3 linked regions of the Drosophila melanogaster genome follow. The protein of the gene in region 3 interacts with the protein of the main gene of each other region in a pairwise test. Each region holds a gene or a part of one and is shown on either strand. Other genes may lie near its edges. The genes, in order: CG11134, mus101 and CG30089.

Region 1 (3,753 bases), on a different chromosome or scaffold from region 3:
TATTGTCGCGCTCCCTCTCTCTCTCGCTCTCTTCCAAATGTTAGCCAGCTGATGCACAGTGGGCATGAACTCAAAATAAAGTGGCTGCACGAAAACCTTTTGCATATCAGATATAGCTTTTATTTATATCGTTTATGCGATATTTCTTTCATTAAGCTGAATTGAAATTCTGATATTTGATGATATCAGAATGAAAAAGTAAATAACTGTATCGATATCATTTGGTTTTCACCGCTTGTTAGCCCACTGTTACAGGTGTGGAGTTTAGACTTTAACATTAACATGAAACGCCTAACATGAAGCCGTAACAGCGGTTATCAGCTGTTGTCCACGATTTAGTGCAAAGTGCGCACCCAGTTTGAAATGCCCATAAAACGGCGATAAGGCTTGAAGACTCTTCAGATTATTTCGACAAAATATGTCACCTAACGAGCCCATTGAGAAAATATTTTTAACCCCCCAAATGCCATATATCGTGATTCGATTCATAAAACGCAAGCATTATTCAGTACTATTATTTTGCATTGACCAATGGATTTCAGTTAGTAAATGCATCAATTTATAGGGTTAAACGACAAGTAGAATGTGCGTTCGTATCAGCTTCACTTCCTTATGAGCTCTCGAACTTTTCCGGATCGATTCCGGCCTTCTTCATTTCCACGGCAATGGAGAAGAGATAGTCATAGCATTCCGACCTGGTTGTAAAAAGAGAGATAAACGATTAGGTCTATAAAAGTGCTCGGTGTCTGAGAATAAGTGAGGCAACCCACATGGTTTTGGCCTTCTCCCAGTTCTGTCCCCAAACGTAGACGCCGTGTCGTCGAACCAGGATCGCACTGCAGCCCGGATACTCCATCATGGCGGCGTACATACTGTCGGCCAGGTCGCGTTCAAAGGGTGTGTTCTCGATGATCGGTACGACGAGCTCCTCGTCGTAGCGCAAATATCGCTTGTCCGCCTCATCGTAGACGCCCTTGATCATCTCCAAGTGGGTGCAGCGGAAGGTTTTCCCTGGCCACAGGAGCGTGGCCATTACGGCGTGCTGCGAATGGGTGTGGATGACGGCTCCCGCCTGCCGATGCTGATAGGCCAGCATAAAGAGCGGCGTACATTGGCTCTTCTTCAGGCCCTTGATCTCAGGCGGCAGTTGCAGATCCTTGCCGGTTATATCCTGCACGAAGAGATCCTCCGGCTGCATTCGCTCCTTCTGGACGCCCGACGGTGCTATGTAGATCTCATCGCTGAAACGGATTAACCGGCTTATATGGCTGTCTGGATAGATGTATAGTATCACTTGTACTCACTTGTACTTAATGCTCATGCCACCTCCTGTGCCGGTCACCCATCCCAAATGATAGAATTGCCTGCATAGCGAGGGAATCAAGTGGCGAGGATGCTCCGCCGGCAAGTCTTTGAAGATCGAGAGGGCCATCTCGCTGACAATGTGACTTTCGTGGGACGTAATCTTCGTCGCCGTGCGACACTGATAACGGGAGATAAAGGGATTCTGAAAGCGACAAATCACGAATGTAAACAATGCTGCCGTCGATAGACGATTGCAATCGGTGTATCGCTGTTAACACACAGCGTTGCCGTTACGATAAACATTGTCCAATTAGAAATGGTTTTTTGAAAATTGAATAATGTGCAATAGTTCATTAAGAGAACAAGATATTATTATCACCGTATTACCTCAAAAATGTTTCATAGCGCTGTTGAAAACGTTTTTTACAAGTATAAATATAATAAGCTTGCTACATTTGAACTTTTTTCAATTTTCTTGAGTAGTCCTATTCTGTAAGTCTTATTATAAACTTTTTTGTTTTTATGTGGCTCACCTTTGGAATTATATTGTTTATTAAACATCTTTTCAGGCCCTTCGTACAATGAAGTCCGAAATCGGCAAGGCGTCACACCGCCTCAACCTTTTCACTTCCGAGATCATGCACTTTATCCACCAAATGCAGTACTATGTGCTATTTGAGGTCATCGAGTGCAACTGGGTGGAGCTACAGAAGAAGATGCAGAAGGCTACTACGTTGGACGAAATCCTGGAAGCTCACGAGAAGTTTCTGCAAACGATTTTGGTGGGCTGTTTTGTCAGCAACAAAGCGAGTGTGGAGCATTCGCTGGAGGTGGTGTACGAGAACATTATCGAATTGGAGAAGTGGCAGTCGAGCTTTTACAAGGACTGCTTTAAGGAGCTAAATGCCCGCAAGGAACTGTCCAAAATTGTGGAGAAATCGGAAAAGAAGGGTGTCTACGGACTGACCAACAAGATGATCCTGCAGCGCGACCAGGAGGCGAAGATATTTGCCGAAAAGATGGACATCGCCTGCCGCGGCTTAGAAGTCATAGCAACCGATTACGAAAAGGCTGTCAGCACTTTCCTAATGTCTCTCAACTCTAGCGACGATCCGAATTTGCAGCTCTTTGGCACTCGGCTGGACTTCAACGAGTACTACAAGAAGAGGGACACCAATTTGAGCAAACCCCTGACCTTCGAGCACATGCGCATGAGCAATGTGTTCGCCGTGAACAGTCGCTTCGTGATATGTACGCCGTCCACTCAGGAATAGCGACCAATGTCCATGCAATCGGTTTATCCCAGTGTCCATACATCATACCAAATCCCAAATCCCATACAGCATCAGCACTCCATTCAGTTCAATTGCTGCTAAATATTTGAGATATCTCGATATCATTGGAGCCAATCCAACCAAACAAACTAATCCAATTATTAACTAAGCCTTCGAATCGAAAACAACCTCTATACATATATATCTCAAGCTTTGCCGTCAATCGCCTGGCTGCAAGCCATCAACTTAAGATATCTCCAATACAAAATTATTGAGTAGTTGTAACGAAAGTATTAAGCGACAATTTGTTTGTCGAAAAACGCAACGTTCTATTTTGTTTGCGAATCCCATAATTTTTTTTACATCGAAGCTTAGTTGAAATAGATTTTCGTAAGTGCATTTGCCAATTGCCATGTTGTAATTAAAGAGAATAAGAGAATGTTACGTACTTTAAAAGAATGTTTTAAAAAAGTTAATGTTTTGAACAGTTTTAAACCGTAATGCGAGCTCGAAATAAACGCAACTTGCATTGAAAGTTTCCGTCTCTATTTAATTATTATAAATTACAAAAATTTGGGTTATAAGAGTGTAATAGTTATTTATTCAATTATTGTAAATGCGTATAAAAAGAAAGCCGAAATATTCAGTTATTTATATTATTTCCTTCTCACTCTCACTCAAACTTTCTGATCTCAAAACGGTTTTGTAATCGAATGCGCAGCGAGTTATCGACAGTCCACGAAGCGGTTAACATTTCACCGCTAGCGAGTGCAGCCACCTACTATTCAGCGTAGCCAACCACCAACGTGCAGCAAACATCGATAGTATCGATTAAACACAAATTTGCGTACCACCTCTAGTTTGCGAGCGTATTAAAGTTAAAAAAAAAACGAAAACAAATCGGAAAAAGACGGAAGTGAGTGCTTTGTGCTGCCGCCGGTGATGTGCTGAAATCGCTTCGCCAAAATAGCCCAATTTCCCAATCGAGACACCGATTGCAAATCAAAGTAACGCCACGGAGTGCAGCAAAAAGAAAAACAAAAACAACAGCAACTGCAAACATGGCACTGAAAAAAGTGAAGGGTAACTTTTTCGAGCGTATGTTTGATAAAAACCTCACCGATTTGGTGCGCGGCATTAGGAACAACAAGGATAATGAGGTAAGCGTGCAGCC
Region 2 (3,753 bases), on a different chromosome or scaffold from region 3:
CGTAAGATTTATCGGTTAATTCCATTCCATAACTCACCTAGCCCTGGCCACATACTGTGGCGGTCCGTTGAGTGCCTCAATTAGTGAGACTGGAATATAGCCTGGCGGAACATCCACTGGCGCCGGCTCCCCGGCCGCCGATGTGGGCGTGTTCTGGTGCAGTACATGCGTGCTAATTCCCTTCTGGACAGCACGGATCTGAAGCAACGCCCGAAACGGAGCGCGACAAATGGGACAATTGTTGGCCTGATAGCGCAGCGAATCCGCGCATGAATTGCACAAACAGAGATGGCGGCAGGGCAGGATGAGCGTATCCCTCGTCTCACTCATGCAAATAACACACTCGCTGCCATGATCGTCGATCTCCTCGTCCAGAGACGTTTTGTTCACGGCCTTGTTCTCGATGCCATAGATCTCCTGTAGCAGGTAGCACAAGCCATCCACAAAGATCTTTTGCTTCAATGCACGCAGCACATAGCTGCCGTTTTCCGGATGATGATCGATCACACAGATGGTGGTGTGCGATTGCCGACACTCGTCGCTGCCCTCCTCCACCACACAGTGAATGGCCACGGGATACTGTTCACGGCCGGGACTATAGCCCAGTTCATCCTCGGGCATCTGCTGCGGATTGAAGACATGGCTCGGCTGCGAGAAGCACTGATTGATGCCCTTCTCGTAGTGGTACGTCTCCGAGGTGAGACCCTCGCGCGGCACCAGTGTCACGCCGCTGGGACTGACATCCTCCGAGCAGAAATAGTAAATGGTAATGGCGCACTTGGCGTCCGAGTCAAAGGTAAACTCGATGTTGTAAGAGCAGGGCGGCGGTGGGGGCGTCATATCGGCATCACCGCCACCCAAACCCATCGAGCAGAGCACATTTCCATCCACATCCTCGATGGTCACGTTGGACTTCTCCTTGTCCAGATCCAAGTCCCGATCAATCTCCTTCATCTTGGGCTTCTCGAGTACACCGCCCAGCTTCTTGTCGTTCATCGTCTTGACGAAACGCACCGACTCCTTGCGAATGTTGACCAGACTCTTCAGGGTCTTCGTCGGTTCATTGGCCTGCGGCGGGGGATACGGAAAGGCTGTGGGTCGATTGCCCAGGAAATTGAGATCCGCATTCTCGCCAAACAAGTACGATTCCGGTTGGGGCGTGTCGAAGCGCTCGCCGCCCATGATGAAGTGGGTGCCAAAGAAGTTACCCATTCTCGGTGGATACTTGTAGGCATTGTTCGTGCTCGGATCGGCCTCCTCCACCGCCGCGTTCTGTCTGCTCACAAAGTTGCCCATTTGATAGGTTGGTGCTATGGAAAACTGTGACACAGATCCAATATAGCTCTTGGCCTACGTTTTCTCTTCGCTTTGGTTTAGTTTATTATTCTATTTCAGTTGGTCACCACCACACATACAATGGCATGTTGGCATTTCACTTGTTCGGCGGAAAATGGCCGCTGTGTGTGTGTGAGTGTGCGAAAGCTGTGGTCGCCTTCAAGTGTTGGATCCTGTGTCCACAAAACTAGCAATAGTACAAGTTGGTCAATGTCTTGATTATTTCTGATTTGCCTTTCCTTTCTTCTTTCTTCCTTTCTTTTAGGGCTGAGCTGCCGTCGACGACGTGGATATCGATATTTCGCTTAATGAAATATATCGATAGCTTAAACCAAAACTGATAAATAACTGCTTATTTTCGAAATATTTTATTTATTTGATAAAAAGTAAATAAAAAATCCTTACATCTTAGAGATAAATAATTAAAATTACCCATACACATTATTTTTTAATTCGCCGTCGGCGTTGCCACATAGCTCAACTCGTAGTTGCCAACTAATCACAAGCCAGCGTTGCCAACGGTTTGAAGGCAATAACAAACGGCGCCAAAATAGCGTACGCGAAAAAAAGTGCAGTGCGAAAATCACGGCAATTTTGCAGCGCATCACGGAGCAGAGAACACACTCGCAACCGCCATCATGAGCATAAGCATGAGCATGGACGAGACCATCTGCGCGTACTTCGTGAACAATCTGAAGCCGGGCGACGGTGGCGTCCAGGAGGCCGACACACTGCAGCAATTCGAGGCGGCGCGGGAGCTACTGGGCCAACAGTTGGCGGAAACGCAGATCCGGCAAATAAAGCCAAGCGAAGGATATCCCCTGATCGCAGCCGGTAACCTTACCAAGAAGGACGTCTTTGTGCTGACCCAGTTCGAGGGCGAATTCTTCGAGCAATTGCAGCAGACGCGAGCACTAATTCTGGGGCCACCGTGCCTCATCACCTGCCTGCGGCGCAATGAACCCATTCCCGAGGGCAGCAGTGCCATCTACAGCACGGCCATGCGGGATCTGCAGGTCTCGGCCACGGGCATAACACCACAGAAGAAAGAGGAATTGAGCAGGCTCATAAACTGGATGGGCGGCATATACTTTCAAAGCTTCGGGCATCGCACCACCCACCTCATTTCGAACACCATCAAGTCCAGCAAGTACGAGCAGGCAACGCTGAACGGAGTACCCGTAATGCACGTCGACTGGGTGCAGTACGTCTGGGATCAGAGTCGTCGCAGCCAGCGCGAGGGCATCATGGCCACGGATCCTGATTTCGATAAGTATCGCCTGCCCATTTTCTTTGGTGCGAATATCACGTGCAGTGGATTGGATGTGGCGCGCAAGGATCAAGTTATGCGGCTGGTCAACGATAATGGAGGCATCTATCATCGTGCCTTTCGCTCCCAGGTGGTGGACATCGTCATCACCGAGCAAACAAAAACGGACACCGAGAAGTATAAGGCAGCCATACGCTACAAGAAGGATGTCTTGCTGCCGGAATGGATCTTCGATAGCTGCAATCGCGGCTACGCTCTGCCCACAAAGGACTATGAGGTGCGGCCTGGCAAGACGTCGTCCACACCCACCAAGACCACTCGTCCGGGCGCAGCTCCCGGTGCAGATCAAACGCACCTCTCGGATCTCTCACGTATCAGCTTCGTCTCCGGCTCGCGTCGCATGTGCAGCGATCTTAGTACCGTCAACGAATCCGTCAGCAGTGTGGGCAGCAGTTCGCCCGCCAAGCAGCTGCTCAAGCAGGCGACTAGCAGTGGCCGCAACTACCAGCAGGTGCTGGCCGAGATTGAACCGCGTCAGGCGAAAAAAGCGGGCGCCTTTCTGGATGGCTGCTGTGTGTATTTGAGTGGCTTCCGCTCAGAGGAGCGTGAGAAGCTAAACAGAGTGCTGAATACGGGCGGAGCGACCCGCTACGATGAGGCCAATGAGGGCATCTCACACATCATTGTGGGCCAACTGGATGACGCCGAATACCGACAGTGGCAGCGCGATGGTCTCATGGGTTCAGTTCATGTGGTGCGCCTAGATTGGCTGCTGGAGAGCATTCGAGCTGGTCGCGTGGTCAGTGAGTTGGTGCATCGTGTGTCGATGCCACAGAATCGAGAACCAGACGTTGCCTCTCCTGCCAGCAAGCGAACACTGCGCTCCATGAACCACAGCTTCAAGCAGCCAACATTGCCCATCAAGAAGAAGCTTTTCGATCAGGAACCGGATCCCGTGCAGGAACAGGAGCACGAGGAGCCGGATCATACGCTGCTGGATCAGTACTCACAGGATCAAGGAGCAGTGGCACAACTGCCACCGGCAGATGTTAGTCTCCTTCAACCAGCGGCAAGTTCCACCCAAATGGATATACGCCAGCGAGTCTCGGTAGCCAATCCAAAACCACCCGCTGAGGGTTTGCAATTGC
Region 3 (3,753 bases):
TTTTTGCTTGAGTTCCATTTCAATTTCTTTTGACGTCTCACCCGCTCATTTTGGCCCATTTTTATGGCCCGTGGCTGTTTGGTTTTCGCTACGCCTTCGCCGCCACTTCCTTGCGAATCCATCCAATTCGATTCGATTGATTCCTTCGTCTCAGCTTTACGTACTTTGACACACTTCCAAGGCTCCGTGATGCCTGTGCCCCCAGGGACTTACATTTCCGCTTAACTATTGTTGGCGGGGCAGGAGTTCTTAGGGATCGAGCGGAGGGGATGGTGGCAAAGGAAAGGGAAAGCGGAGAGTATACTCCTCAAATTGAATTTGAAGCCGGGTTCCCTTCTCTGTTATTTGCACACGAGCCGATATTCCACTTCTTGTGCCTTCCCATTTTTAATTTAATTCGGCATTCGGCGCCTTTTGCTTTGGCACTTAAAAAGTTTTTCCCAGTGCCCGAAAGTAGGCAACGCATCCCGACCCGTATTCGATATAGGAAAAAATCGTGTCAGTTAATGCACTGTGGGAAAAATAGTATTTAAGGAAATAAAAGTAAACTTTAAAAGTGGCCTTAATACTTTTATTTTATATGATGAAAGTTTACATTAATAAAGAGCACTAACACATATAGATTGGTTTACTTAATAGTTCAGAAAACACAGTATTACGTATTTCAAATCGTTGTATGTTTCAATCATTTTAAAATTGCATTGACACAAAACCAGCAGACAGGTTGCTCAAAACAAACTAAATTTAGTAAAATATTATTTCATGCTTTAATTTAATTTTGCTTTTAATTCTGTACTATTTTTTCTCACTGCTCTGGCATCGAAATGCGCAAACGAATGCGATCGAGTTGCTAAATCACTTAAGCCATTCAAGTTTCGTTTCGATTTTGAAGCGAGGCAAGGAACAGAGAAATTGTGATAGAGAGATTACTTTTGTAGTTGGGAGATTTGTTAGGGAAAGCTGGAGTATCAGTGCTGCGGATTGACTTCTGAGGCATGCCCCAATAATCCGCACTGAAGAGATGAATTCCCAAGGCCCGTGCACTGCATAATTAAGTGCGGTATTCAATTTAAGTTTTTCCTACTTCTCCTAGGGCTTCAATTAACGAACTAAAAACAAGCTGCTAACTTGGTCAAAACAAAGAAGGGCTGCAGCGAAAGGTGCTCTCCACTTACCATGCAGTTCGCCTGCCCTTCGGATCCTACCGTTGTGAGGGGCAAATACAAAACAGGACCTTAAAGCTGCTTTGACTGGCGGCTGCTCTTCAAAGTTTCAAGGCTCTGGCCAAGTTTTTTTTTGTCCACCTCGAGTCCTTTGCGAATGTCAGGGGCGGCGGCGACGGGGGCGTTGTGATGCGCTTAATTATGCTAAAAGCAGGCAGCAACTTTGCCAGCTACAGAAATGAATATTTACACCTGCCCGGATGCAAATGTGCCGCCAATGTCAAAGCCATTCAGTGTCGTAGTGCCAGAGGTAAACAAAACTCCGATATGTATCTTTTGGCACTATTCAATGCTAGTGATTTTATTTAGTTAACGTGTTTCACAAATCACTTTCGAGTCCAAAGTTTTTGGGCTGCTCGTAAACTCTTTTAATGTTCTCAAACACTTTTAGAAGCCGCAGCTATTTCTCACTTCTTACGACTTTTGGGAATTGTCCCGTTGAAGACCGGAAAAACACTGCACAGGCTTTTGCGACGGAAAACGCGAACGAACTGACTGGCTGGGAAACTGAACAATGGCTTTTCAATGCTAACTTGGCTCGGGCTTGGAAAACTCAACACGCGCTCTCTGCCATTTTTTGGTGAGTCTGCGCACGCTTTTCCGCGCTCTGTTAATCTGCACGTGCATTTCACTTCCAGGAAAATCGTCCCGCATCCGCTACCAACCGAAATGTGTGTGGAAAATGTTTGTTTACATTTGGCAGAAAGCAGCTGGAGAAGGAGGCGGAAGGACTTGTGGGAATCGGGCCCCAATTGGATGTTGCCTACTTTTGGGCCCGTGAAATATGACTTCTGCAATCGAAGTGGAGATGCAATTGCATTTGGCCTAAAGGCCTGCAACCAGCTGTTCCGGAAGCGTTAGTTAGGCTAGTAAGCCGGGCTAAAACCGATTGCCGACACAGCTTTGACACAGCCTCCATCCATCTAATGAACAGCCGCCTTTCGCCGGCTGCTGATGGACAAAGTTTTTTAATTATCATTAATGAACTCGCAGGGCGCAATCATTGGCCAAGTTGTGCTTTGCAATTATTTTAATGTTCAATGAGGTTGCTGCAGCAGTCATCGCCAATGATTTATTACCGCCCCCTTAGCTTTTCCGAAGGCCATGGCCGTCGGAGTCCAGAGTCCATAGTCCAGAGTCCAAAGTCCGAAGCCCAAAGTGTGTGTGAGTTGCCGGCATTGGCAATTAGATAGCTGAAGGGAGGGGAGGTAGCGGGAAGGTCCATGAAACAGCGTTTATGTTTAATGCGTTATAATGGCCGTTGTAAGTGTACATAAGTTGATATAAAAGTTTTATGGCCCAGGCGTGAGCAGCCTCCGGGATCCGATATGGAAAAAGGAAAATGCGGGACGGCAAAACCGAAGGGGCAGGGAAACGGGCTGGATAGTAAAACCACAATGGAGCACAGCGAAAACAAACAAATCGATGAGTTATTCCCAAAGTTAAGGCAATTGAAATTTAGATTTAATTTCACTCTCGACACTCTGGTCAGAAAATAAATTATTGACTTTCCAATTGAATTATTGCCACTGCCGGCTAAAGCTACAAATTTATGATTTTTGTTATGTCTCTTTTTGGCTGGAAAACCCCAAAGATGGGCTTTTTTGAGGTTCTCGATCGGGATCAAGCTGGAACATAAATAATTTAGCCCAGACCTTTTATTGAATTACTCTGATATTGCCAGCCATAAATTATGTATATTCAACAATTTTCCATAATTTATGCGTGCTTCAAAACAATTTAACCCCCCGCCCGCCACATGAAACACATCGATGGAAATAATTTCAATAGAAAGACCTAAGCGTATGCGGCGGCCAAACAAACACGCACGAATGCCTCCCCAAAACACGCACACAACCACACACACGCACTTTCAACCGCCCACGCACACAGCCACACGCGTACGTGTGCTTAGACAGATATCCGTATCTATAACTGCCTCACAATTGCATCGCACTTGCCACGGAAAGACCGATAAAAGAATAAACAAGGAATTTGGGGTAAAAGCGTCCATAAAACACACTTTCAGTTAACTTATTTATTATATATATTTTAATGAAAACAACGTGCAACATACAAACTTTAAAGAAGGGAAATTTTCTTACATCTCCCATATGACTTGATTAAATCATCATGGAACTTTAATCAGCATATGCAGCAAACAAAAATGTTTTAAATATAAGATCAAATAGGTTTCTTAGCAAAGGAAAGGAATATATTGTAGATGGGTGTTACCCCTTCATAGGGCAGTGCCCTTAACCACTTCCATTTCGCTTTTACAACCCTGCCCTTGCAAGTGAGCCGAAGGACCCAGACCCCATTTATGACATATGCGCAGGTCGAAGGGCAGTGGTGGGGGAGTAGGGCCTGCAGCCGGCAGACGCATCGCCAGGACAACTCCAATCCCCTTTCGCCGATCCAACCCCAATATCCCCGCCCCCCTTTTCAGCCACCAGAGGCAGTGGCAAAAAATCTTCGGTTTAAGCGATTTCGCCTGCTTGGGGCAAGAAGTTTTTCCTTTTGATGCCGC

Evidence for each region.
Region 1: the proteins of CG30089 (region 3) and CG11134 interact in a two-hybrid assay, tested with the Drosophila melanogaster proteins (one large-scale study listed by BioGRID).
Region 2: the proteins of CG30089 (region 3) and mus101 interact in a two-hybrid assay, tested with the Drosophila melanogaster proteins (one large-scale study listed by BioGRID).

The regions. Positions count from the first base shown.
Region 1 is NC_004354.4:13,735,928-13,739,680, reverse strand, and holds CG11134 (uncharacterized protein), read right to left. Parts: upstream 1,740-3,753; 5' UTR 1,693-1,739; intron 1,543-1,692; exon of another isoform or gene 1,508-1,542; 5' UTR 1,433-1,507; coding exon 1,305-1,432; intron 1,242-1,304; coding exon 771-1,241; intron 696-770; coding exon 611-695; 3' UTR 504-610; downstream 1-503. Other genes in the region: Grip91 (Gamma-tubulin ring protein 91), read left to right, coding at 1,875-2,579; g (garnet), read left to right, coding at 3,641-3,739. UniProt on the Drosophila melanogaster protein: Catalyzes the dehydration of methylthioribulose-1-phosphate (MTRu-1-P) into 2,3-diketo-5-methylthiopentyl-1-phosphate (DK-MTP-1-P).
Region 2 is NC_004354.4:13,720,381-13,724,133, forward strand, and holds the start of mus101 (mutagen-sensitive 101), read left to right. Parts: upstream 1-1,865; 5' UTR 1,866-1,973; coding exon 1,974-3,753. Other genes in the region: Mrgn1 (mahogunin ring finger 1), read right to left, coding at 38-1,296.
Region 3 is NT_033778.4:15,725,349-15,729,101, reverse strand, and holds the start of CG30089 (uncharacterized protein), read right to left. Parts: upstream 1,722-3,753; 5' UTR 1,176-1,721; intron 1-1,175.